3 linked regions of the Diceros bicornis minor genome follow. The protein of the gene in region 3 binds, or shares a complex with, the protein of the main gene of each other region. Links are inferred from orthologs where the notes say so. Each region holds a gene or a part of one and is shown on either strand. Other genes may lie near its edges. The genes, in order: GNAT1, GNAT3 and RHO.

What was found.
Region 1: the proteins of RHO (region 3) and GNAT1 are in contact, whole or in part, in a cryo-EM structure (PDB 6OYA), measured with the Bos taurus proteins. The link is inferred for Diceros bicornis minor from reciprocal best matches to the Homo sapiens genes RHO and GNAT1. Residues at the interface, in NP_001014890.1 of Bos taurus: Leu72, Arg135, Val138, Val139, Lys141, Ser144, Asn145, Phe146, Arg147, Val230, Ala233, Gln236, Gln237, Ser240, Thr242, Thr243, Lys245, Ala246, Glu249, Val250, Met253, Met257, Asn310, Lys311, Gln312; in NP_851365.1 of Bos taurus: Ala27, Arg28, Asp189, Leu190, Val312, Glu314, Tyr316, Asp333, Ala334, Asp337, Ile340, Lys341, Asn343, Leu344, Lys345, Asp346, Cys347, Gly348, Leu349, Phe350.
Region 2: the proteins of RHO (region 3) and GNAT3 are in contact, whole or in part, in a crystal structure (PDB 4A4M), measured with the Bos taurus proteins. The link is inferred for Diceros bicornis minor from reciprocal best matches to the Homo sapiens genes RHO and GNAT3. Residues at the interface, in NP_001014890.1 of Bos taurus: Leu72, Arg135, Val138, Val139, Lys141, Thr229, Val230, Ala233, Thr242, Thr243, Lys245, Ala246, Glu249, Val250, Asn310, Lys311, Gln312; in NP_001103452.1 of Bos taurus: Ile344, Asn347, Leu348, Lys349, Asp350, Cys351, Gly352, Leu353, Phe354.

What each region holds. Positions count from the first base shown.
Region 1 is NC_080741.1:51,241,090-51,249,174, reverse strand, and holds the start of GNAT1 (guanine nucleotide-binding protein G(t) subunit alpha-1), read right to left. Parts: upstream 3,096-8,085; 5' UTR 3,054-3,095; coding exon 2,948-3,053; intron 1,651-2,947; coding exon 1,608-1,650; intron 1,502-1,607; coding exon 1,360-1,501; intron 1,266-1,359; coding exon 1,108-1,265; intron 1,019-1,107; coding exon 890-1,018; intron 630-889; coding exon 500-629; intron 196-499; coding exon 42-195; intron 1-41. Other genes in the region: SEMA3F (semaphorin-3F), read right to left, coding at 6,451-6,861, 7,527-7,660, 7,928-7,995. UniProt on the Homo sapiens protein: Functions as a signal transducer for the rod photoreceptor RHO. Required for normal RHO-mediated light perception by the retina.
Region 2 is NC_080742.1:18,075,360-18,082,478, forward strand, and holds the start of GNAT3 (guanine nucleotide-binding protein G(t) subunit alpha-3), read right to left. Parts: upstream 3,070-7,119; coding exon 2,952-3,069; intron 1-2,951. UniProt on the Homo sapiens protein: Guanine nucleotide-binding protein (G protein) alpha subunit playing a prominent role in bitter and sweet taste transduction as well as in umami (monosodium glutamate, monopotassium glutamate, and inosine monophosphate) taste transduction.
Region 3 is NC_080741.1:87,791,561-87,798,470, reverse strand, and holds the start of RHO (rhodopsin), read left to right. Parts: upstream 1-3,821; coding exon 3,822-4,377; intron 4,378-6,145; coding exon 6,146-6,314; intron 6,315-6,910. UniProt on the Homo sapiens protein: Photoreceptor required for image-forming vision at low light intensity. Required for photoreceptor cell viability after birth.

The sequences.
Region 1 (8,085 bases), about 37 Mb from region 3:
GGGGTTGGGACGCCGCCTGGCGGCTGGGCCGGGAGTCTCACCGTTGTAGTCCGGGAAGCAGATGCTGAGGTGCGCCTTTTTTATCTTCTCGGAGAAAACGTCCTTCTTGTTGAGGAAGAGCACGATGGACGTGGTGGCGAAGTAGCGGTGGTTGCAGATGCTGTTGAACAGGTGCAGGCTCTCGTGCATGCGGTTCTGAGGAGGGCAGAGGCTGTCGGGCACGGGGGGACAAGGGCAGCCGTCCCCATGCGGCCGCTGCTGACGAGCCAACCGCTCCTCTCTGGGCTCTGGGACACCCGGGGCCTCTCCGCTCCGATAGCTCCAAGTCCCCCACGACCCCCCTCAGCGGAGCTGCTGGCTGCCTTCTCTCCTCCTTCACACAGCTCTGGAACGAATGTCCCCTCTCAGACGCTCCCGCACGCGCAGCACTGTCTCCCGCTTGCCCTCGGCCAGCAGCTCCGCCTCCCCCCTCAACACTCAGGCTCTGCTTGGCACTCACCACTTCGTCATCCTCCACTAGCACCATGTCGTAGGCGCTCAGCGCCGCGATGAAGATGATGCAGGTCACACCCTCGAAGCAGTGGATCCACTTCTTGCGCTCCGAGCGCTGCCCGCCCACATCGAACATCCTGCAGGGCCATTGGCGCCTGAACCCACGTATCGAGCCCCCTGGACGCACCTATAGGCATCCCCTCGCCTCCTAATGCAGGCTGGGGGGCACTCAGAGGGGACTGGCATCTGGAGGGCTGGGCCTTTCTGGAGGCAGGGTATCCGAGAAGGGGCAGAGTATCTTGTACGGCCCGGATGGGGCGTCCGGGACGGGACCGGGCCTCGGGGCGGTGAACTCGCCAGCAAGCCCCCGGAGTGAGAGCGAGGGCATGGGTCGTACCGGAAGTTGAGGTCTTTGAAGGAGAACTGCGTCTCAATGATGCCCGTGGTCTTGACACGCGAGCGCAGCACGTCCTGCTCAGTGGGCACATAGCCCGGGGTTACCAGGCGCTCCAGGTCCGAGAGGTAGCTGCGGGAGACCCCGGGGAGTGGGTGGGGTTGGGTGGAGGGGTGTGGCAGGGCCCTGCCCGCGCCCCCTCGCCCCGCTTGCGCACTCACTAGCCGGCGGAGTCGTTGAGCTGGTACTCCGAGGCGCGTTCGAAACAGGCCTGGATACCCGAGTCCTTCCACAGCCGCTGGATGATGTCTGACATCTCCTTGGGCATCGTGCCCTCCTCGATGGTGTCTGCCATGTGCATCAGCTTCCGGGCATCGTCCTGGGGGCAGGGCGTGAGTGGTTGGTGTTGCCCGTGGGCCCAACCCTGGGCCTCCAGTCCCCAAAGGCCCTGTTCAGCCCGCCTCCTGGCACACCTGGCGCGCAGAGTCTCCGTACTGGATGTTGAGCGTGGTCATGGCACGCACGATGGCCAGGATGGACTGCAGCGTGTTGCCGTAGATGATGGCAATGAACTCGAGGCACTCTTCCAGAGAGTACCCATCCTGGTGGATGATCCTGCGGGCGGGGCGAACCGGGTCAGCGCCTCGTGGGCAGGTGGGGAAGGACAGGCCCCGTGCGCGGGCCCACCCCCGGGGTCCTTGGGATGGGCAGGGGCACTCACTTCATCTGCTTGACAATAGTGCTCTTCCCGGACTCACCTGCACCTGGAAGGGAAGCCCCCGCCTCAGAGCCCCGCCGACCGTACCTCCCTCCCATCTCGCCTTCCCCCACTCCCCGCACCCCCCCTCCCCCTCCCCGCAGCGAAGCCCAGAAGATGGCTAGGCGGACCCAGGGCATTAGCCCAAGCCCCCAGTCCGGCCTGTTTTCCCCCTACCCGGGTCCTGACGCCCTGGCGGAAAAACGTTTGTAAATATCAGGAGGGACAGAAGGGGGCTGACGAGGGGCATCAGCGACCTCAATAGTGCTGGGGAGCTTCCAAGATCCTGGTATACGCAATCTTTATTTTTCTGAGACCAAAATAAAGAAAACCTGGAGCGCCACCTTGTGAAGAGTTCTGGTACCGCACGCACGAGATTATTTGAGCCGGGTCAACTCCTGCTTTTCCTGAGGTGGGAGGGGAGTGTCTCCAAGAGGCTCAAAGGGAATTGCGCCTTTGGGTGGGGGAGAGGACAGAACTGACAGCCTCTCTGAGCCTGCTCTCGCGAGGGCGTTGGGCACAGTTAATGGGATTTCTGGCTTAGCCTCTGTGTCCTCCCTGGGATACTCTGGCTTGGTCCCTCTGCCCACATCCAGCTGCCTGACTGGACACTGGAGAGCCTGGAGGGAGCCTGCACTGCCCTCTCAAAGCAGCTCCTTCTTCTCCTTGGGGGAAGGCAGTGGCTTCAAGGCACTGGGTCAGCCCCATCTCCCCTCACTACCTGTGGGACCAGGGACATGGCTTTATCTATTCCCCGCTGGGCATTAGTACCCCTCCACCCTGTTTAGCTGCTTTGCAGGTCTGCCAACAGTAAAGCTCTGGAAACTGAGGGTCATTGTCTGTGGATCTGGGCAGTCCTAGAGGCTACCCAATCCCAGGAGGACTGTGACCTTGTCCTTCCCAAGAGGAGCAGCCCTACTACGGGGCTACCAAGGAGATCCCTTGTTTCTGAGCCCTGCCCAGCAGGCCCATCAAGCAGAAGGCTGAAGCCTGAGGGAGCTCAGCCAGGGCACAAGTGTGCCTCATACACACACTGGTACAAAAATGTGGTTGGCACACACTCCTCCCGAGGGGAGGCTATCTGAGGGAGGGCCCTCTAGAGAGGGGTTCTGTGGGATACCCAGCCTTGGGGAACCAGGATATCGCCTATTGCCCTTGCTTGGCCAGGGCTCCCACTCTCTTCCCTGCCTTGTCACAGGCTCATTCTGCTTCCCAGAATGAGCCCTGCTTCACAGAAGGGCCACGTGCCTGCCCCCGGGCCTCTGACCTGGTGGCAATAGCCCCACTTGGGCCCACACCCCTACCCAGAAGCAGCAGTTTCACGGTTCGAGCATCCTTCTCAGCATCTTCTTTCAGCTTCTTTTCCAGCTCCCTTGAGTGCTTCTCCTCTGCGCTGGCCCCAGCCCCCATGGTCCCGGCAGCAGGTAAAAGAACAGGGTGGTCAGTTGGCTCTTCTGGATGGAGGAGATCCCCAGAGCCAGGCTCAGGCCAGCCTCTGGCCTCCACAGACACCCTTCTGGCCCCAGGACTGGCAATCAACTGGCTCTCCACAGACCTGTGCAGGCCCTGGTGGGGCTGCTTAGTAGGATTTGGGAGCTGGGGGTACCCAAGAGCCAATCAGAGACAAGGACAGGTGAATCCAGCTCAGCCCCCTGCCCTTCTAATCGGGCTGGCATGGCCCCAATCCCTCAACTGCTGACTCGGCACTCTCCTCTACCCTCTCCCACTAACACTCCAGGAAAGACCCTGGAGACAGTCCAGCCCCTGCCCCAGAGCAGGGAGACATGTTCAGTAGGATCCAAACTCTGAAAGGGGAGGATAGGGCCTCAAGCCCCAGGAGTGGGAGCAATAGGGGTGGGGCTGGCAGCGGGGAGTAGAGGGAGAAGCATGCACAGAGCACCTGGCCCCTGCCCAGCACTGGGCTCAGCGCTGCTTATCTTGTTGTAAGCGCACACTGGCCCTGGGGGGTGGGTGCCCCACCATCAGCTCCATTTTACTGTTAAGGAAGTGGAGGCTCAGAGAGTCATACACCAGGGGCTGGTTGAGAAGGGCTGGGTGACTCTGGACCAGAGCTCTGCAGGGAGTCAAGAGGGAAAGGTGGACCCTGCATTTGTCCCGTACCAAGGGCGGATCTGACCTGGGCAGGGCCTCTACATGCCTCCATGATTCCAACGGACTTGGGTGGGCGTGCATGTCTGCTGTGTGCCTGGGTGTGTGTGTCTATCCTTTCCTGGCACCAAGCAAGGCAATGACATGACACGTTTGTCACTGTATACTTGTGTGTACAACATGTGCCTGTGTGTTTGTTCTTTTGTGAGTGCATGTGTATGCACACGTGCGGGTGTGCTTTTGTGTATTTCTCTTCATGTGCACAGTGCTTGTATGCATATATTGCCGTTCTTGTGTGGATTAACGTGTGTGCATGAACACATATGTGCATGTTCATGTGCAATGCATGTTAGTACGCACTGGCCTGTTTGTTCCTGTGTGCGTGTACATTTATGCATGTGTATACCTGTATGTGTGCATACTTGCATGTGCCTGTGTGTACATGTGTACTCGAGTGCAACAAAGTCTCTGACCTGCAGAAGTGGCCAGGCTCCTCCAGAGAATTTTTTGCAGGCCTGTTGTCAGATAGGGAAACAGTCCCAGAGCAGGTCTGGTGCTCTCAGGGGCAGAGTAGTGGAGCTCATCTGCTCTGCTCCTGTTCTGTCCCTCATGGGTGCTTGGGACCTGCCTAGAGGTATCTCTAGTGCATGCCTGCTTCAGTATCAGGGGTCTGTGTGTGGGCTCGGATGGGACAGGGCGGGCTCCTGGGTGGAAGTGGTTCCATTGAGCCGTAGTGTTGAGTTCACAGGCTCTGGAGATTTCCCACCTCCCATCAGAAGACCCAAATCCTGGGCTCTCACGGCCTCCTGGCTGGACTCCCTCCTGGAAACCTGGCTGCCTTTTAGTACTCGACTCTGTTGCAGACACGAGAGACCATGAGGGGGTGCCAGGGCCCCAGATACTGAGAATTGAAGACTGTCCCTAAACATGTGGGAAGTGGATACTGGCTCCTGCTATGGGTTGGTGGCTTCATCATCTACCCTGTTGGGTGAGAGGGGATCTCTCCAGTAGCAACAGATCATTTGTGCCACTTTCAGCCTTCAGGTTCCATCCATCCTCCACCTCCCACATTGTAAGTGGGCTCTGGGGGTCTCTGCAGCCCCTTCTACATTCCCCAGGGTTTTGGGGTGATACAGGAGCCCAGGTTTGCTAAGCCACTGAAAACCTGGTTTCTATATATTGGGTTGATTTAAAGTAGTGGGGCTAATCCACTGCCCCCCAGTCTCCACCTGGCTCCCCTTACCTGCCAGATATGGCCCTAAGCCCTGATGGATCCATAACCTCCCCAGCTCTTAGCTCCCCCTGCCAGGGCTTGACTTGTGAATTTGGTTCAGGGCCCACAGCCCCACTTCCTTCTCTCCTGCAGCTCCCCACCTCTCCTCCTGGTCTTCCCCACCTCTGGACATTTGCTCATGCTGGGCATTCTGCTAAGAGCTGGCTGGAAGTAGGCAGGAAGAACGAGGATTTTGTCGACTCTCAGGGCAGAGGCAGCTGGACTGTGAGGGCTATGGCTTTGTCTTACCAGTTCTGAGTCCTTAGTGTCCAGCACAAAGCCAGACAGAAAGCCAGGTGAGAAAGCAACATTGACTAAATGATCAAACAATTGAATGAGCAAATGGAAGCTGGGCTTGCAAAACAGAGTGTGGGAATTGGTGGGCCATGTGGCCCACATGGTGGGGGGGGCAGGAGGGACAAAATCTGGGTGTGGGCTGAACCCCCATCCTCCCTCCTCTGCCAAGGAGAAAAGCCAAAGCCCAGTCCAAGAGCCATTGTTTATTAGCAAGATGGAACCCAAGGGCGGCTGTGGCCTAGAGAGCAGTGGGCCACCAGGAGCCCCCACTCACCTACCCAACTGCCCCCCAAAGCTATTTACACCTATCATCTGAAGTAGTGGGCAGAAGGGAGCCCTAGGGAGCCCCTGCAGGCCCCAAGCCTCCACTATGCCCCTCCCCCCCAGCCCTGCCTGCACCTGGCCTCTCTGCTATTCTCCCAGCCCCCAAGTCACAGTGGCCCAGAAAAAGCAAAGAGGAGGTAGAGTGGCCAGGCAGGGAGGAAGGAGGGGCTGGAGTTGCTGCACCACCCAAGCAGGGCTCTTCTGTCCCCAATAAATAGAGAATAAATACCCAGGAAGGGGCTGGCCTTGACTGAGTGCCCTGGTCCCAGGCAGGGGTGAGCATCCTGTGACGACCCCTTCTTCCCTTCTCTGAGTGCATCTGAGCCCCACCCCACTCCCAGTCTCCAAAGCAGTCCTTGCATCCACATCCATGCCAGTGCCACAGGTTGACAGCACACATTGACAAAGGTGTACAGTTCATGCCCTGTCCAGGTAGAGCTTGCTCCCTCCATGTCCTGTAGATCCCAGCAGTGGCTGTCGAGCAGGTAGACTCCTAGCTGAGTCTGGGGACTGTCTGGTCCTGGCCTGGCCCTGCCAACTGGTGGGGCCTGGTTAGTTGGGCTCTGTTTTCTGTGGTCTCTGACCAGCATGGGTTTAAGTTCTGGACGATGCTGCCACTGAAGCAGGCTATATACGACCCACCAATAAATACTGTCTTTGCAGGGGAAAGGTGTGTATAGAATATATATATATTTTATATATATATATATATATATATATATATATATATATATATATATGTATCTTTTATATTAAAAGGGACAAGGGCTAGGCTGGCCCATGGCAGGGCTCAGACAGCTGGCCTCATGTGTCCGGCGGGTGGTGGCGGCGGTTCCGGGGCTTTTTCTGGTCTTGCGGTTCAGGGGGCCTGGGTGCCCCTGGGGCATCCCTGGGGCTGGGGGGCACATGGCGCCAGTAGCCCTGGCAGTACTGGTGGATGAGGCCCACTTCTGGCTGGGCCAGCAGCTGGGCCAGCTCCTGGTAAGGGGGCGTGGGGACACCAGCGCCCTCAGGCGGTAGGGCGCTCGTGGCTGGCGGTGGGAAGAGGGCAGCATGGACAGCATCCCGGCCAAGTACATGTAGCTGCACCCGTGTGACGACGTGCTTGAAGTTGTTCTCAGTAGCTGTGCAGGAGTAGAGTCCGCGGTCCCCAAGCTGCAGGGCACGAAGCAGCAAGCCCTGCTCTGTGCGCAGGAAGCGGTCCTCTGCACGGATCTGCAGGGGCAGGGGGTGGGGGCTCAGGGGCTGTGTTACCATCCTGCTGCCCCAGCCAGCTCCCAGATCAGACCACTTTGTGGCCAATCCACATAGGGGCACCCATGTGGAATTTCCATATACCAAGAAAAACCTACATGAAGTTTCCACATAATATCTGAATAAGGCATCCATACACATTTCCATTTCGGAAGGGGTGACCATAAGGGGATTCTGTACAATGAGAGAATTTTGGAGCATACACACAGAAATTTCTATTTTATGAGAATACTCAATTGGGGAACCCTCACAAAGTTTCACGTAAAGAGGAATGCCTGGAAAGCATTTCCATAAAATGAGGGCTACCCCACAGAATGTCCATATACTGGAACTCACCCACGACGTTTCCATACAATGAGGTGTACTTCCAATGGAGTACACATATGGAATTTTCATGCAAAGAGGCATGCCCATAAATGGTTTCCATATAACATGGAAACTACAGCGTTTCCATATAACTAGATTCACTCAAATGATTTCCATGTAGGGACGGGAGCTTGGAAGGGCTTTCTTAGAATAAGGGCTGCCCTAGACTGGCCTCTATACCACATTTCACCCATGTGGAATTTCTACTGTACAAGGGACTCCTGCATCCACGGTGAGGACTGTGGGGCACAGGAAATCACCTCACGGCGCCGGTCACTGGGCTCTCGCTGGAACAGCCACTTAACAGCGGCCTGGGGCGAGCGGGGCTGGCACTCAAGGAAGGCCGCGCTGCCCGCCACGCCGTACTGCACAGACTCCATGGCATTCCTGTTGGCTGTAGAACAAGAAAAGCAGCATTGCCTCTGGGCAGACTGCAGCCTGACAAGGGGCAGGCGCTGAGGGGCACATACAGGACACCCACTCATATAGGCAGGGCCGAGCCATCGGGCATCCACTTCTTGAGGGGGTAGCTAGGGACATCCCACTGCAAAACATTAAGCCTCCTCATCCCCGCAGACCATGGGAGAATCCTTCCAGTGGGGGCCCTGGGAGCAGCTTGGTGGGCCACCCGGGGCTCTGCACTGAGGCACAGCACACTCACCGTTGGAGTTGAACCCACGGCACTGCCTGATGGGGTTCCCATGCCGGACGTCCTGACGGCGGCTCCGCCTGGATAAGGAAAGCTCCTGAAGGAGTATTCCCAAGGGAGCTTGCCCCCAGGTTCCTGTACCCCCAAGACTCCAGGGTAGGATGTCTCAC
Region 2 (7,119 bases), on a different chromosome or scaffold from region 3:
AGTGTGATGTTACAATATAGCACACAGAAAAATAAAGAACAAAAAATTTTAGAACTAAAGGAAGAGAACACCAATGACTAACCATCCATGACAGCGCTGGAAATCACCAGCCAAAGCTGGTTACAATACCATCACTAAGAACGTGGAGTGAGTGGCAGAGTTTCAAATATGAAGAAAACACAAAGCTTAGCTTTTCCCTATACTTCCTATCAAGCTTTGAATCGCAAACCAGCTTATGTGGTGGAAATTTGTAAAAGTACAAAAGAAAGTAATGTGGTAAAATAAATAAATTCAAACTGAAATTTGAAATAACAAATATAAAAAGACGAGACAGGAAAAATGGAGACATGATCCATAGTGATTCCATAATTAAATGGCAGGTATTTCTTTTGAGTAGAATTAAAGTTTAATCAAACATTAATAATTTAAGAACTAAAAAAACTAACAAGAATTCTGCAAAAGAGAACATCTTATCCATTAGAATTTGTTTTTCTTGTTAAAATGTACTCTTTCCGGGACATCTTTATGAGCTATTTTTTTTAAAGCACGTGACATTACTGTCTTGATAGCTGTTATCAAATGTGCCAGGAGCACATGAGTCATCTCCAGTGTTTCCTAGAAGCCTGCTTTTTGCTAAAGAAAAAGATAGGGCATCTCTTCTGTAATTTTACTGAATGTCTGAAAGGCATAGTAAAGAAGGAATATGTCTGCAAGGTGATCTTTGCTTTGCAAAGTCACACTTTGATAGCTCTTCAGAGTCAGTGAAATCTTGTGTCCAATGACACAAAATGGTACACCTACTTACAGTACATGTTAAATTTGGAAAGTTGTGCTATGTGTATAAGCACCTGGAAATTCATCAGATAATAAGAGGATCAGCATAAAGAATGAATTCTGCCAAAAATGTTTGTTGCTTTCTAATTTTTATAAAAATAGAGTTAGACTCAGGATCTGATCATTACATGACATACGCTCATTGATAAGTTAAAAACTCTTGTTCAGACTACACTGAGGAATGAAAATCACTGTTTCAATGATGGGAGAAATTAAAAAGATTTCATTAGTGAGGGGATTTGAGGGTGGGAGGGTGGGAAGGTTTAGTTTAGTTCCACTGAACGCTTTTATGTCTTAATGAGGCCAATTTGAATATAAAAATTACAGTTTAGAAATTTGAGTTCAATTCAAAAATAAGAATCAAAGCAGAGTTGTTACAAGACTTTGTTGTTTTAAACTTGACAACTGAATCATCATACAAAGAACTCAAATAGAGTCCAGGAGGGAAAACTTAGTCCAGTGTTTGGAACACAATTGAAATAGGAAAATCATAAGAGAATTTGATTTATTTTGTATAAATAAGATGTGACTGAGAAGTTCAGTGCACATATTGTTGGAACCAAATACATCCAAGCATACGGTATGGTAACTTTGGAACTGAATTTATGTAATTGTGATTGTCTTGGGAAAGTAAAAGATGTTATAACACCACTAATGAGTCTTTTGTATCTCTGGTTCGAAAAGCTACCCTTTCTTCTTGATCAAACCCACTTTAATCTAAAAATAGTTGGTATGTTGAAAATATCTCTATTCTTTTGAAATTTTATTGAAACATGAGGATTTTTATGTATTTTATCACTATTCCTATACAAAGAGGGACACAGAATGCATTTGTAGGAATGCTCGGCTGTCCCTCTCACCTTTTATTTGCATTTTCTATGTTCACATTAATTTCACTCTTGATCAAAGCCTCAAAGAATACTCTGGAGTGTTAGGGAAAGTGTATTTACTGGTTTCATAAGAGCTGGCTGCTTTGTAAGTTACCGACCTCTATCTAGGTGGTTACTTGCCAGTGCTGTGGGCAAGTGTGCAGCCACAGAGCTCGTGCACAAAGGGAGAGAACATTTCCTTTCCTTTGACGATCAGGTGCTGGGAATCCCACAGCTGGTTTCTGAGACACTCTTGCCACTGGGAGCAAATTAGACACAACAAAGGGGCACTTAAAAAAGTGAAGACATTTTGTTGAGTGCAAGATTCACAATTCTGAAATAAAATGAAGTCCTTTTGTGTATAATTAAGAGCAGGAGGAACACACAGCTATGATTAAAGTTTTTGTTTTATATTCTTTTCATAGGTTTTTATTCTTATTTCAAAACTATATTTATCTTCCAGTGACCACTACATGTTAAATTTTTTATGTTTAGGAAAATGTGTGATATACAGATTATTTTCTATCTTTCAATTCATTGAACATTTATTGAATTTATAGTTGTGGTAAAACATTGTGCTGAGTTTTGAGGGAATGAAAAGATAAAAGAGACATAATTCTTGACCTGAATGAATATATAAATATCCTAAAAGGATTTAAATGGAGTATTTTTCAAGTATGCAGACAAGATCACAGGCAGAATAGTATTTCAGAAGCCTGAATAATATTGTTAATATAAAAGTTAAAGTATCGTATCATTACTCTCTAAATAACTTGAGACCCATTAATTTTAACAGCGCAAGTAATTAAGTAACATATTAACTTTGATATCAAACAGCTTGACATATTTCTGTTTGAACAAAATAACATAAATCTTTATAACTTGAAATTAACGGATTGTTTTCAGTATTAAAAAGCTACATTCAGGAAATGATTAAGGTGCAATAAAATAATAAATGTATCTGACTTTTCTTTTAATAATAGTAACTTGTATTATTGACAGAGAAATTGTATCATCTAATAAATATCTGTCTCTCTGCTTAACAAAAGAACATGTAATAAAACACTAAACAAAAAAAATCAGTAAATATTTATAGAGCACACAAAAAGTCTATTTAAATTTCCAAACACATTTTTATAATAAATCTCTCATATGGTAATACACTTGAAATTAAAGTTTGAGAAAAGTAAATACATCACAATTGACAAAAACAACAGGGTTTTGAAAGTAAAGGGAAAAAAATATTACCTAATAACAGCAACTTGACAGTTCTTGCATCTCGCTCAGCATCTTCCTGAAGCTTTTTCTCCAGTTCTTTTGATCTCTTGGCTGACTCCTTGCTCTCTGAACTAATTCCGCTTCCCATCTTGTGTTAGATACTCGTCAGTTTATCTGCTCAAACTTTGTCAAACATAGAGCACGGCTCTGGTTTGGACGTAGGATGCAAGAACAGTGCTCTGCTGAAGTACCCAACAGCCTGCTCCCTCCCTCTCTAAGATTCTGCTTTGACTAAGGAGATGCTTTCTAAGCTGTCACCTGATCAAAGGGTAAACCATATAACCCTATGGTTGTATGGTTGGAAGCTAAAGAGGGAATTCATTATGCTTTCAAATTAGATGGCCACTTCTGGCACATCTTCAAAAATTTGCTCATTTTCCTTAAAGAATAGCATACAATAAGGTAGAACGTCATCACAATCTACACATTAAAGATACTCTGCAATGAGCAGTTCAAATGGAATGTTTCTCACTAGTAGACAAGCTCTGTTACTGTGATTTAAAGTTATTACTAATCAACAAGCTTGCATCTTCAGATATGTGAGTTTGCAAATTCTTCATAATCACTCTAATGTCACTATCAGAATATCTACAATGAATCGTTTATAGTCATCTACAATGACTATAAATTTATAGTCATGCTATGCTTAGATTATGACTCAAAATTGTCAAGAATCTCCTGTCAGTTAACTAGAAAACATCTTTTTTAAAAAATGGAAACACATAAATGTAGTTCTTACATATATACATGTGGTATCGCCACAAACATAGGATTCAACACACAAGGCTCTTAAATTATTGATTTTAGTCTCATAAAATCCATCTCTATAAATTAAGCTTTTACTGCTTGTGAGAATGTTAGTCCATCAACATTAATTGAGGGCCCACTTGGTGTAGACACTGAGCTGTGTTCACTTTAGACAGTGCGTTAACTCTTTGGGGCCATTAAGCAACAGCTGCTGTGCTGGAAGGACTTTTATTGATTTGGTACCAAGAGAATAAAAAGCAATGTTCTTTGAAATGGTAGGTAATTTGGTGCTTCCTGAAAAGTAAGAACTAACTATGTTTCATGCCTTTCAACTGCCTCAATAAATATCATGTACTTCTTGAAGATCTACAAGCTTGCGGACAGAGATTATGAAGTACAAGATTTTGTTTACAGGAAGCATAAAACACTTTTTAGGTAGTCAATGAATATTTTCCTTATAAACAGAGTTGGCTACCTGTGGCAGCAGGCAAATCTTTCAATGTGCATTTTGGGATTTGTGAATGTGCCTATCCAGGAAATGCTAGAATGCAGTCAGTCCTTCAACACGTCAGTGCTGATCTTCTTGTGGGATCATGTGCAAAGTCTGAACAGGTGGGTTTTTGCATATTCATACAACAAGGAAATAGGCTGCCAAATTAAATACATATTCCTGCTTTGTTTACTTTTTCACATAAAATATGAGGCTGTAGATATGTAAGCATAGTCAAAACTTTCTGGATTTCATCCCTCCAAAGCCATATTATGATAGTATAAAGATGTGGAAAAGTAGATATGCAAGGCTTCATGCAAATCATGTGGTATTGCTTTTGCAATGCAAAGGCCCTGTCCCAAAGGAACATGATTTGTGCTGTCTAATTTATTTTTACTCATCCCAAAACACAGAGTCTGCTCTGATAACAACGCAAAAGAACACAAACATTAAAATAAATCTCTTTTTGCCTATGGTTTTTATATCAAAATTGAATATACATAGATAGTACCCTGAATATACAAGATTCTTGTACGTCCCAAAGCAATTATGAACTGACAAGATACTTCGTATAATTTGCATTTAAGTAAATATACCCATATCTTTCTGGCAGGGGCATACCTTGGATTTGAAAGAGCGTGTGTTTTCCAAGACTTCCTAAGTGGATTACTGACTAAAACTGACCAACTCTTTCAGGAGTAGAAGTGTACATTTTCTGCACTGCATAAAATTACGAACTTCCGCTTTTCTGTGTAACCCAGAACATTCAGTCATCAACTTTATTAGACTATTATGTGATTTTTTCATCAGTGACTAAAATCATCTTGACATAAAATTCAAGGTGTGTCTATATGTAGGGAGGCAGGCTGGGGAGAGCCAGAGAGAAGGGAAAGGCTCCCTTCTCTGCCCTCTCCCCTGGGTGCCTGGGATACAGCGTCACTAATGAGCTGTGGTTGTTAATACAGCTATTAGTCCATGTTGCTTCACTTAGGATTATAGCTTTCTGGACCTGAGAAAATGATGAAAATGAAATAATAAATTTCACTAGAATGGGGGCAATGTCTTATTCGCTTGGATGTCTTCCACATATTTGTCTCAGTGCTGGCCATAGGAAATGTTCAAAAATTATTTCTTGCTAATAAATTGGTAGACACCTGGAGTCTTTTTCTTCCTTGTGCTCTGCTGAGGTGACATGATAGTTAAGGTTTGTTTCTAAGGTTCAGTGTCATAGCGGGTCTATCTCACCACCCTAGAAATTTTAGAGTGACTCAGAAATTCAATGAAAAAGCCCAATTTTAGTCTGAAATAGTGTCAATATATACAATTACAACTGTTAGCCCACATTTATGCTTTTTTTTCCTCAGTCTTAAAAATAACACAGCACACTCCCTTTCTATTGCTAAACCTTGCTCCATAGTGAGGGAAAATTGATAGAAGATGACAACAGGAAAGGTAACTAAATTAGGTGCTTTTAATTCAGGGAAAAATGTGGCCATAAATTTTGTGTGTTCTTGAAAACAAGAAACATAAAGCTATCCAAGGCACTGTCAGTGTTAGAGTTCTATAGTTGGCCAGCTAAGAGAGATAGATTGCTCTGCACACACACACACAACGCAAGAGACAGTGTGTTGGAGTAATTGGTCTTTTAGAATAATCACTTAGAACAACTTCTAAGAACCTTGTTGCCTGTTTCTTTTTCTGTCACAGCATCAGCCTGATTGGGAACATCTTCTTTCAGCACCAGAAGGAAAATTGACTTGAGTTAAAACACAGAGAGTGAGCCCTCAGCTGTAAAGGTCACTGAAATGCCACAAGATGGCATGATGTGAATAATTTTTCCTTTTGCTACTTTTGGTCAGGGTCTCTGTGGAATCTTCAGAAGAGGACATTAGCCTTTAAAAAGTTTGAGGAACCACATTTTACATTTATAATTCAACATCTAGCTTGAGATGACATAGGATTATTTCCCATCTGCTGTTAATATTGAGATTTCAACCCGTGTTTTGGAGATGTCTCTTTTGCCAGTATTACCTGGGCTTTTGCAGTCGTCAAGCTGGATTTCCCGTGAGAATGTGACATGTGGCTGACTTCAATAAGTGGCTTCAGTGGTTCAGCTCCTTCTTGAAGTTGTCAACACAGGCTGTTAATTGTGTTAGTCTTTTTTTTCTTCCCCCCCGTATCTTATAGGAGGTGTTGACTTCAAGCATTGGGTCCCTGGGTGGTTTGAGTCCTGGCTGCCTTGGCAATAACTTTTATCCTTGCATATTCCCATGAAGTTTGAGGCAAATCATCCCTCCTTTCCTAATGGTACTCAAATATGCGCTTGTGGGAGCTCTGCGGGTGGTGTTTCCCTCAGAGATTCATGTCTTTGGTGACTTCTGAGACCGGTCTTCTGATCTTGAGGGAATACGGCAGACATTGCTGTTTCAAGTTAGTACAGTCGGATGGTGCAATAAGTGTACAATGCCAGCATTAAACAGCGATTATGTCTTAAGAGGTAATACAAATAGGCATTTTTATTCATTGGAGTTGATTTCTGCCTTTACTTATTCTACATACATTTTTATGGATTAGGATATGATTATATATAATGGTTATTGGAAATAAAAAATGTTACATGCCTAAATGACAAAGAAGATGAGTCATAATTATTTCCCAAAAGGCTTCTCCCTGCCCCAAATCCCATCTTCTTTAGAATATTTTTTATATGTCTCATTAACACAACATTTCCACTACTTACTCCCTTAACTTTATTCCTCAGTCACTTCAGTCCTGATTATTGCAACCACCTCCTCCTTAGGTCTCCTGATTCTGGCCTCTGCCCTATTCCACTCTAACTCGTCTGACGGAGCCAGGTTAAATTTCCTCAAACCCAACTTTCATTATTATATTTTTCTTGTT
Region 3 (6,910 bases):
TAGTGATAAATACAGAGTAGAAAATGAACACTGTGGGTGGGGGCCCTGGTGTGTAGAGGCGGGGATGGGGGGCTCTCCAAGGACATGAGTTATTTGCTGAGCCCTGAACAAGATGCAGAAGAGGGTAACACTTTTAGCCGCACTCACTGGTCACCTTCTAGGAACAGAGCAGGAAACAGGCACGAGGAAGGGAGGGGCCAGGTTGCACCAGGCTGTGTGGCCGCAGAGCCTCAGTCGGGATGTAAGGGTAGCTATGAAGGGGCCGTGCCCAATGAGGGAGGACCAGAAACCTAAATTGTAAGGTCCGAAGTTCCGTGAGCTGGGCCCTGGTGGGGATAGCAGGTCAGGTTTACCCTGTAGATGGGTGTGGATCCCCAAAGTTTCCTAGTCCCAACAAACTGAGACCCGGAGAGGGGACGAGGGGCTTCCTGGGCTCTCAGGGTGACTCAGAGCCACAGGCTAGAGCCTGTGCTGCCCCCTGCCCTCAGGGCCACTGCTGCTGCCCCAGGCCTGTGTGACTCAGTCGAGGGCCCTTTCCACCCTTTCCACCACCCCAGCACAACCCTTTTTTCGTCATTTATACCATGGTGTGAATGACCTGCAGATTATTCCTGAGAGCCGTCTATGGTGTGGGAGGGAGGCGTCACCAGGCAGGTTATAGCCTGGCCGTCACTTGTTTGTCACATGAACTGGGCAACTCACTACAGACTCTGGGCCTCAATGTCCCCACTTGCAAAATGCAGTGGGGAGGGTCAGAGTAGGTGACTTCTAATGACCTTCCAGCTCACTCCGTGAGCCTGTTGCTCTGAACAAAGAGCACTTTTTGTTCTAAAAGCAAATGGTTTGTCATGCCTTACAGAATACAAAGCACCGTCACCTCGGTGATGGTCTTTAACTCCCCATCACCTCGCCCTGTGAGGGTGAGATTATTGAACTCTCTTACAGAGGAGGAACCTGAGACGTAGAGAAGGGAAGTACTTCCTGAGATAACCTAGACCCAGTAACTCGGGCTGCAAATATTCATTGAGTGCCTCCTAAGCGCTAGGCACTGGGCTGCGTCAGTGAACAAACCGACAGAAATGCCAGCGCTTCCTACGACAGGGAAAAAACTTACAGTGTTCCTGCCACATCCTGCACATGCCAGAGCACGTGCTGGGCTCTGGGGACCCTGTGTGAACGAGACAGAGCCAGCCCACCCTTGTGGGCTCCCGTCACAGCCTGGAGATGGACAAAAACCACATGAACAGAACATGAATACAAGCTTCCAGGCTGTCATAAGCATTAGGAGGTGACAAGCAAGGTGCTGAGGACGAGGGCTCAGCCTGGCCAGGGCGGGGCTGTGCGTGGGCCAGTCTTGACTCAGGGAATCCAGTGCTCCCCTGTCCATCTGGCTACCAGGGGCCGTGGCAGAATCAAAGCCTCCACCTTGACCTCATTAGTGTTGGGCCTAATCACGAGGCTAAGCGCCTTAAACTGCGAGAGGTCACACCCCACCAGCCCTGCCAGGCCACGCTCTGTGCTCATTCCATCAACACACATTTCATCCACCCTCCGTGCGCCAAACCTTGACACCACCCAGGACAGAGGGGTGTGGAGCCCCAGGTGGGCTGGAGGGAAGGAGGGCACCTTTTTTTTTTTTTTTTTTTTATAATTTTATTTATTTATTTTTTCCCCCAAAGCCCCAGTAGATAGTTGTATGTCATAGCTGCACATCCTTCTAGTTGCTGTATGTGGGACGCGGCCTCAGCATGGCCGGAGAAGTGGTGCGTTGGTGCGCGACCGGGATGTGAACCCGGGCCGCCAGCAGCGGAGCGCACGCACTTAACCGCTAAGCCACGGGGCTGGCCCAGAAGGGCACCTTTCTGAAGCAGATAGATCTAGGAACCTGAGGAGAAGAGAGACTGGGTGAAAGAGAGCTTAAAGGATGGAAGTCTCGGAGACAGGGACACCTCCCTGTCCAGCCTTGTATTCCCAGCCTCAGGGCCTTTGCACTTGCTGTTCTCTCTGCTTGGATATCTCCAGCCCCTAGATCCTGGCAGGGCTGGCTCCTTCTATCATTGAGTTCTCGGCTCAAACTTCACCTTCTCAGAGAGGCCTTCCCTGGCTGCTCTAGATAACAGTGTCTTGGGAGTGGGTCATGATCTGAACTTTTCCTATCGTTACTTGTTTCATTACTTGTTTGTGGGGCTCTCGCCCCCACAGAATGACACGTCCTGCCAGCAGGGCTTGGTCATTCTTGTCCACTGTGTGCCCCAGAACCAAGCACCTTGTGTGGAACCTGCTTGATACACATTTGTGGCTGGACGGTGGTCATCAAGCGCCTGCATGCCGGGTGCTTCCAGCCACCCCTGCATCCCTGGGCGGTGTCATCATGCTACAGATGGGGGAGCCAGTCAGTGTCGAGCCTCCATTTGCCCCCAGAGCTCGTCCCACTGTCCTGGGACCCACCCTCATGGGGTTACCTGTCACACAGCATCCAAGGCCCTGTGTTCCAGCCCAGCCTGACCAGGTGTCCCCAGATGTGCCCCAAGTGCAGCAGCGTCCAACCAGTCCTGTTTCCAGGGTCCACCTCCCCTCACGCTGAGTCCCCAGGAGGCTGGCTCACTGCAGTGAGCCAGTGCCCAGCACCGGTGTGGCACACAGTACGCCTCTGGCTGCAGAGCCTTGCTTCGGAGCCCTGAGAGCCTCGTCTTCTCCCTGCTTTAGTCACTCCTCCCGGGGCCTCTCCTCCATCCTCACTCCCATCCATCTTCGGGGGCATTTGAGCCACCATTCTGTCCCCGAGATCTGCCCAAGGCATTGCCCACTGCCCTCTGGATGAAGCCAGGTTTCTCAGCTTGGCAGCAAGACCCATCAGAGCTGACCACAGCCCATGTGTGGCCATACCACAGATGGGTCTCAGGCCTGTGCCCAGCCTCTGTCTTCAGTCTGCACTGTCTTCCCTACTTGGCAACCTGGCAAAGTGCTCCCCTCCCTCAAAGACCCAGACGTCGCCTCCCCTGATGCCTCTCCCAGGCAGGCAGCCTCCCCTCCCAGGGCTGGGATCTGTTCTTCCCACATGGCAGTCCTCCTCAGCCTAAGATCCTCCTTTCTTGATCTTTGTATCCCCAGGGGCCTGCACATAAATGTTTGATGAACTAGTGACTTCCTATTCAACGCAGTAAATGCTAATTGAGCTCCTGGGCTATGCCAAGCTGTATGCCTGGCACAGGGAATGCCGTAGCTGGCAGGATGCGGCCCCTGCCCTTATGTGAAGCTCATAATCTGGTGAGAGGGCTAGTGTCAGTGTTCAGTGCCTGGATGATCCAGGAGGAGACTTAGGTGGGGAAGGAATAGGTAAGGGGGTGAGTGAGGGGAGGAGAGACTGAGAGAATAATCAAGGCCTCTGCCCTCCGGGAGCTCCTGGTCCAGTCGGGAGGAAGAAATCAGCTCGCGCTCAGCCAGAGGGAATTGGGCCTGGAGTCGGAGGTTGTGATGCCAGGCTAAGGCCCCCAGGCTGAGTTGGGCAGAGATTCCAGGAGGACAAAAGAGTTGGGGGCCAGCCTCCTGCCCTTTCCCAGGGTCCCCAACGCCTCCCCTCCATGACCCTAGGCTTCTACCTTGTGTGGAACCTGCTCGCTACACATTTGTGGCTGGACGGTGGTCATCAAGCGCCTGCATGCCGGGCGCTCCCAGCAGCCCCTGCGTCCCTGGGCGGTGTCATCACACTCCTGCTACAGATGGGGTAGCTCCAACTTCACCTTCTCAGGCTTGAAGTCTAGAGTCACCTTGGCCCCTCTTGGAGGCCAATTAGGCCCCCAGTTGCAGCAGTGTGGATTAATATGATTAATAACGCCCCCAATCTCCCAGGTGCTGATTCAGCCAGGAGCTTAGGGAGGGGAGGTCACTTTATAAGGGCCTGGGGGGGAGGGTCAGAGCCCAGAGTTGTCCAGCCGGAGCCCTGGGTGGCCGAGCTCAGGCCTCAGCAGCATTCTTGGGTCGGAGCCGCCCACGGGGCAGCCACAAGGGCCGCAGCCATGAACGGGACGGAGGGCCCGAACTTCTACGTGCCCTTCTCCAACAAGACGGGCGTGGTGCGCAGCCCCTTCGAGTACCCGCAGTACTACCTGGCCGAGCCGTGGCAGTTCTCCATGCTGGCCGCCTACATGTTTCTGCTGATCGTGCTTGGCTTCCCCATCAACTTCCTCACGCTCTACGTCACGGTCCAGCACAAAAAGCTGCGCACGCCTCTCAACTACATCCTGCTCAACCTGGCTGTGGCCGACCTCTTCATGGTCTTTGGCGGCTTCACCACCACCCTCTATACCTCTCTGCATGGATACTTCGTCTTCGGGCCCACGGGATGCAATCTGGAGGGCTTCTTTGCCACCCTGGGCGGTATGAGCCGGGATGTGGGTGGGCAGGGGCACAGGAGCCAGAGGGCGTGGAGGGTTCTGGAGATGTGGCTGAGAGGCATTCTCCCCTCTGCAGTCGTCAGCAGCATCCAAAGCCCTCACTTCCTCAATCAGTGAACACCCTGCCGTTTGTTCAGGGCGGGCATTGAACACTATCTCACTCTGAGTGGTGCCCTTGTCTTGTTTTACGGCAGGGAAGCAGGTTGAGAGAAGTCAAGGACCTTGCTGGGGTCACACTGTGGTGAGGGGCAGAGCTGAGTTTCCAGCCCACATCTCTGTGGCCCCTCAGGCGGTGTTCTGTTTCCCTGGGAGCAGCTGTGCTAGATCGGACCCCCGCCAGGCACCGGGGAGAAAGCTGGATGAGACAGAACCCTGTGCCCAGGCTCCCAGCCGGGGTGGGACGCAGACTCTCAGTCCTCCGGTCACTGGACTTTGCCCGGGCTGTCAGTTGATGGCTCAGTCCCTCCCGCCAGGATCTGTCTGACTCCCTTCCCAGCCCACCTCCAGCTTCTATGCCATGCTTGAATGCTTTTTGTGTTGAGGAGCTCATCCCCTTCGAAGAAACCCCTTCCAAGGGAGGCATTAGATCTGTGTGGTGATCCGTAGCTTTGAAAGATGCTTTCAAATATTTTCTTTGACTGGAAAATGAATGGGGGTGCTGCAGAGATAATAGATCCCATTTAGCAGATGAGACAACTGGGGCATGGAGGAGGGAAAAGACTCATCTAGGGGTGTGGCAGGGCAGGGAGCAGAGCCTAGATGTCCTGGCTCAGGAGACACCCAGGAATGTCCTGCTGGACACGTAGCCTCTCAGGCAAGCAGGAGACGCAAGATGTCGTTATTACAAAGCTGGGGAGACTGGGAGAGCCCAGCAGCGGCCACGAGGACTGCTCTGCCTCCTCGTCTTCTCTCTCCCCTCGTGTCCAGGACGCTTCCTCTGCCCCATTCCCAGGGAATCTTTGGCCATCACTGGTGTCTGTCACCTTCAATGACCACAGGTCCCCCGGTCTCAGGCCCGAGGGCAGGCGTTAGGCAGGAGTACCACATACAGGCAGAACCTTCTCTGCAGTGGCAGTCCCAGTGTACAGCTTTAATCCTGGAAAATTCTTGTAGTGTTCCCGTTCCCTCTCAGAAATGTCCCAGTTTGGTTGATAAAGTCTATGGCCACCCTCCCCCTTGAGTTTCTGGGGTGATATGCAGGGCAAATGTCTGAATTCCATTACTATTTCCTCCTTCTTCCTCTGAGCAAAACATTGTCCAGCTTCCTGGATCTAGGAGAGGGTCCACGTGCCCAGGTTGTCTCATTACCCTAGAGGGCAGAGGCCGCCGCTGGAGAGGGAGGGAGAACTTCTGACTTCGGGTTTCTGCTGCCTCTGCCCTGCCTTCAGCGAGAACTCTGCCCGACACCCCGTGGAGGATACAGGCCTCTGTACAAATGCCCTATGGGGCTCCCAGTGCGACCACGTCCCTGTCGTCTGACCTCCGTGTCCCTCGTGACCCAGAGCTCTAACTGAACGAAACTTCCTGGGAGTTACTCTGCTCATCCCCCTCGGCATGCTGGCCCCTCTGCCCCGCACTCCCGTCCCTCCTCTTCTCGGCATCCAAGCCCCCTCCATCCCAAGTCCTCGCTCCAGGCCTGCCCCAGGTTGCCTTCTCCGCCACCCTCCCCCATCTAGGAGGAGCGTTCCCTCCTTAGATGACAGTGGGGTCCAGGCAGGAGGCATATTGACCGGCAGCTGATTGCCTTGCAGGTGAAATTGCCCTGTGGTCCTTGGTGGTCCTGGCCATCGAGCGGTATGTGGTGGTGTGTAAGCCCATGAGCAACTTCCGCTTCGGGGAGAACCATGCCATCATGGGCGTCGCCTTCACCTGGGTCATGGCACTGGCGTGCGCAGCGCCCCCCCTCGTTGGCTGGTCCAGGTAATGGCACTGAGCAGAAGAGAAGGGTCCCCGGGGGTCTTCGTAGGGTCTCCCAGCCAGGACTCAAACTCAGAGCTGTCTGGTTCCAGGCACTGAGCTCACATGCCCCCTGCCCCAAATGCCCACCTGGCAACTCTCCCAGGGGAGGAGTTCAGGGCAGGGGAATAGAGGATCAGACCCTAATGTTGCCAACAGGGCTGGTCCCACCTCCTGAGTCCCCACGCCAGAAGAATCGAAGATGCCCCAACCCTTCACCTTGGCCTTGCCCCTAATCCTCAACTAAGCCAGGGCCAGATTCCAATCCTCTTTGGTCCAGTGCCCCATAGGCAGCTCCCTCTGACCTTGGGCCTCTAGGAGGCCGAGCCTTCCTAGAACAGGTGGTAACATTGTAGCCCCTGGGAACTGGGTCCTGTCCAGCCTCCAGGCCATTGTCTCCAAATGAGTCTGAGATGACAGATGGGAGGACAGGGCCCGGCCTGGTGGCATAGTGGCTAAGTTCACGCACTCCGCTTTGGCAGTCCAGGGTTTGCAGGTTCAGATCCCAGGCGTGGACCTATGCACCGCTTGTCAAGCCATGCTGTGGCAGGCATCCCACA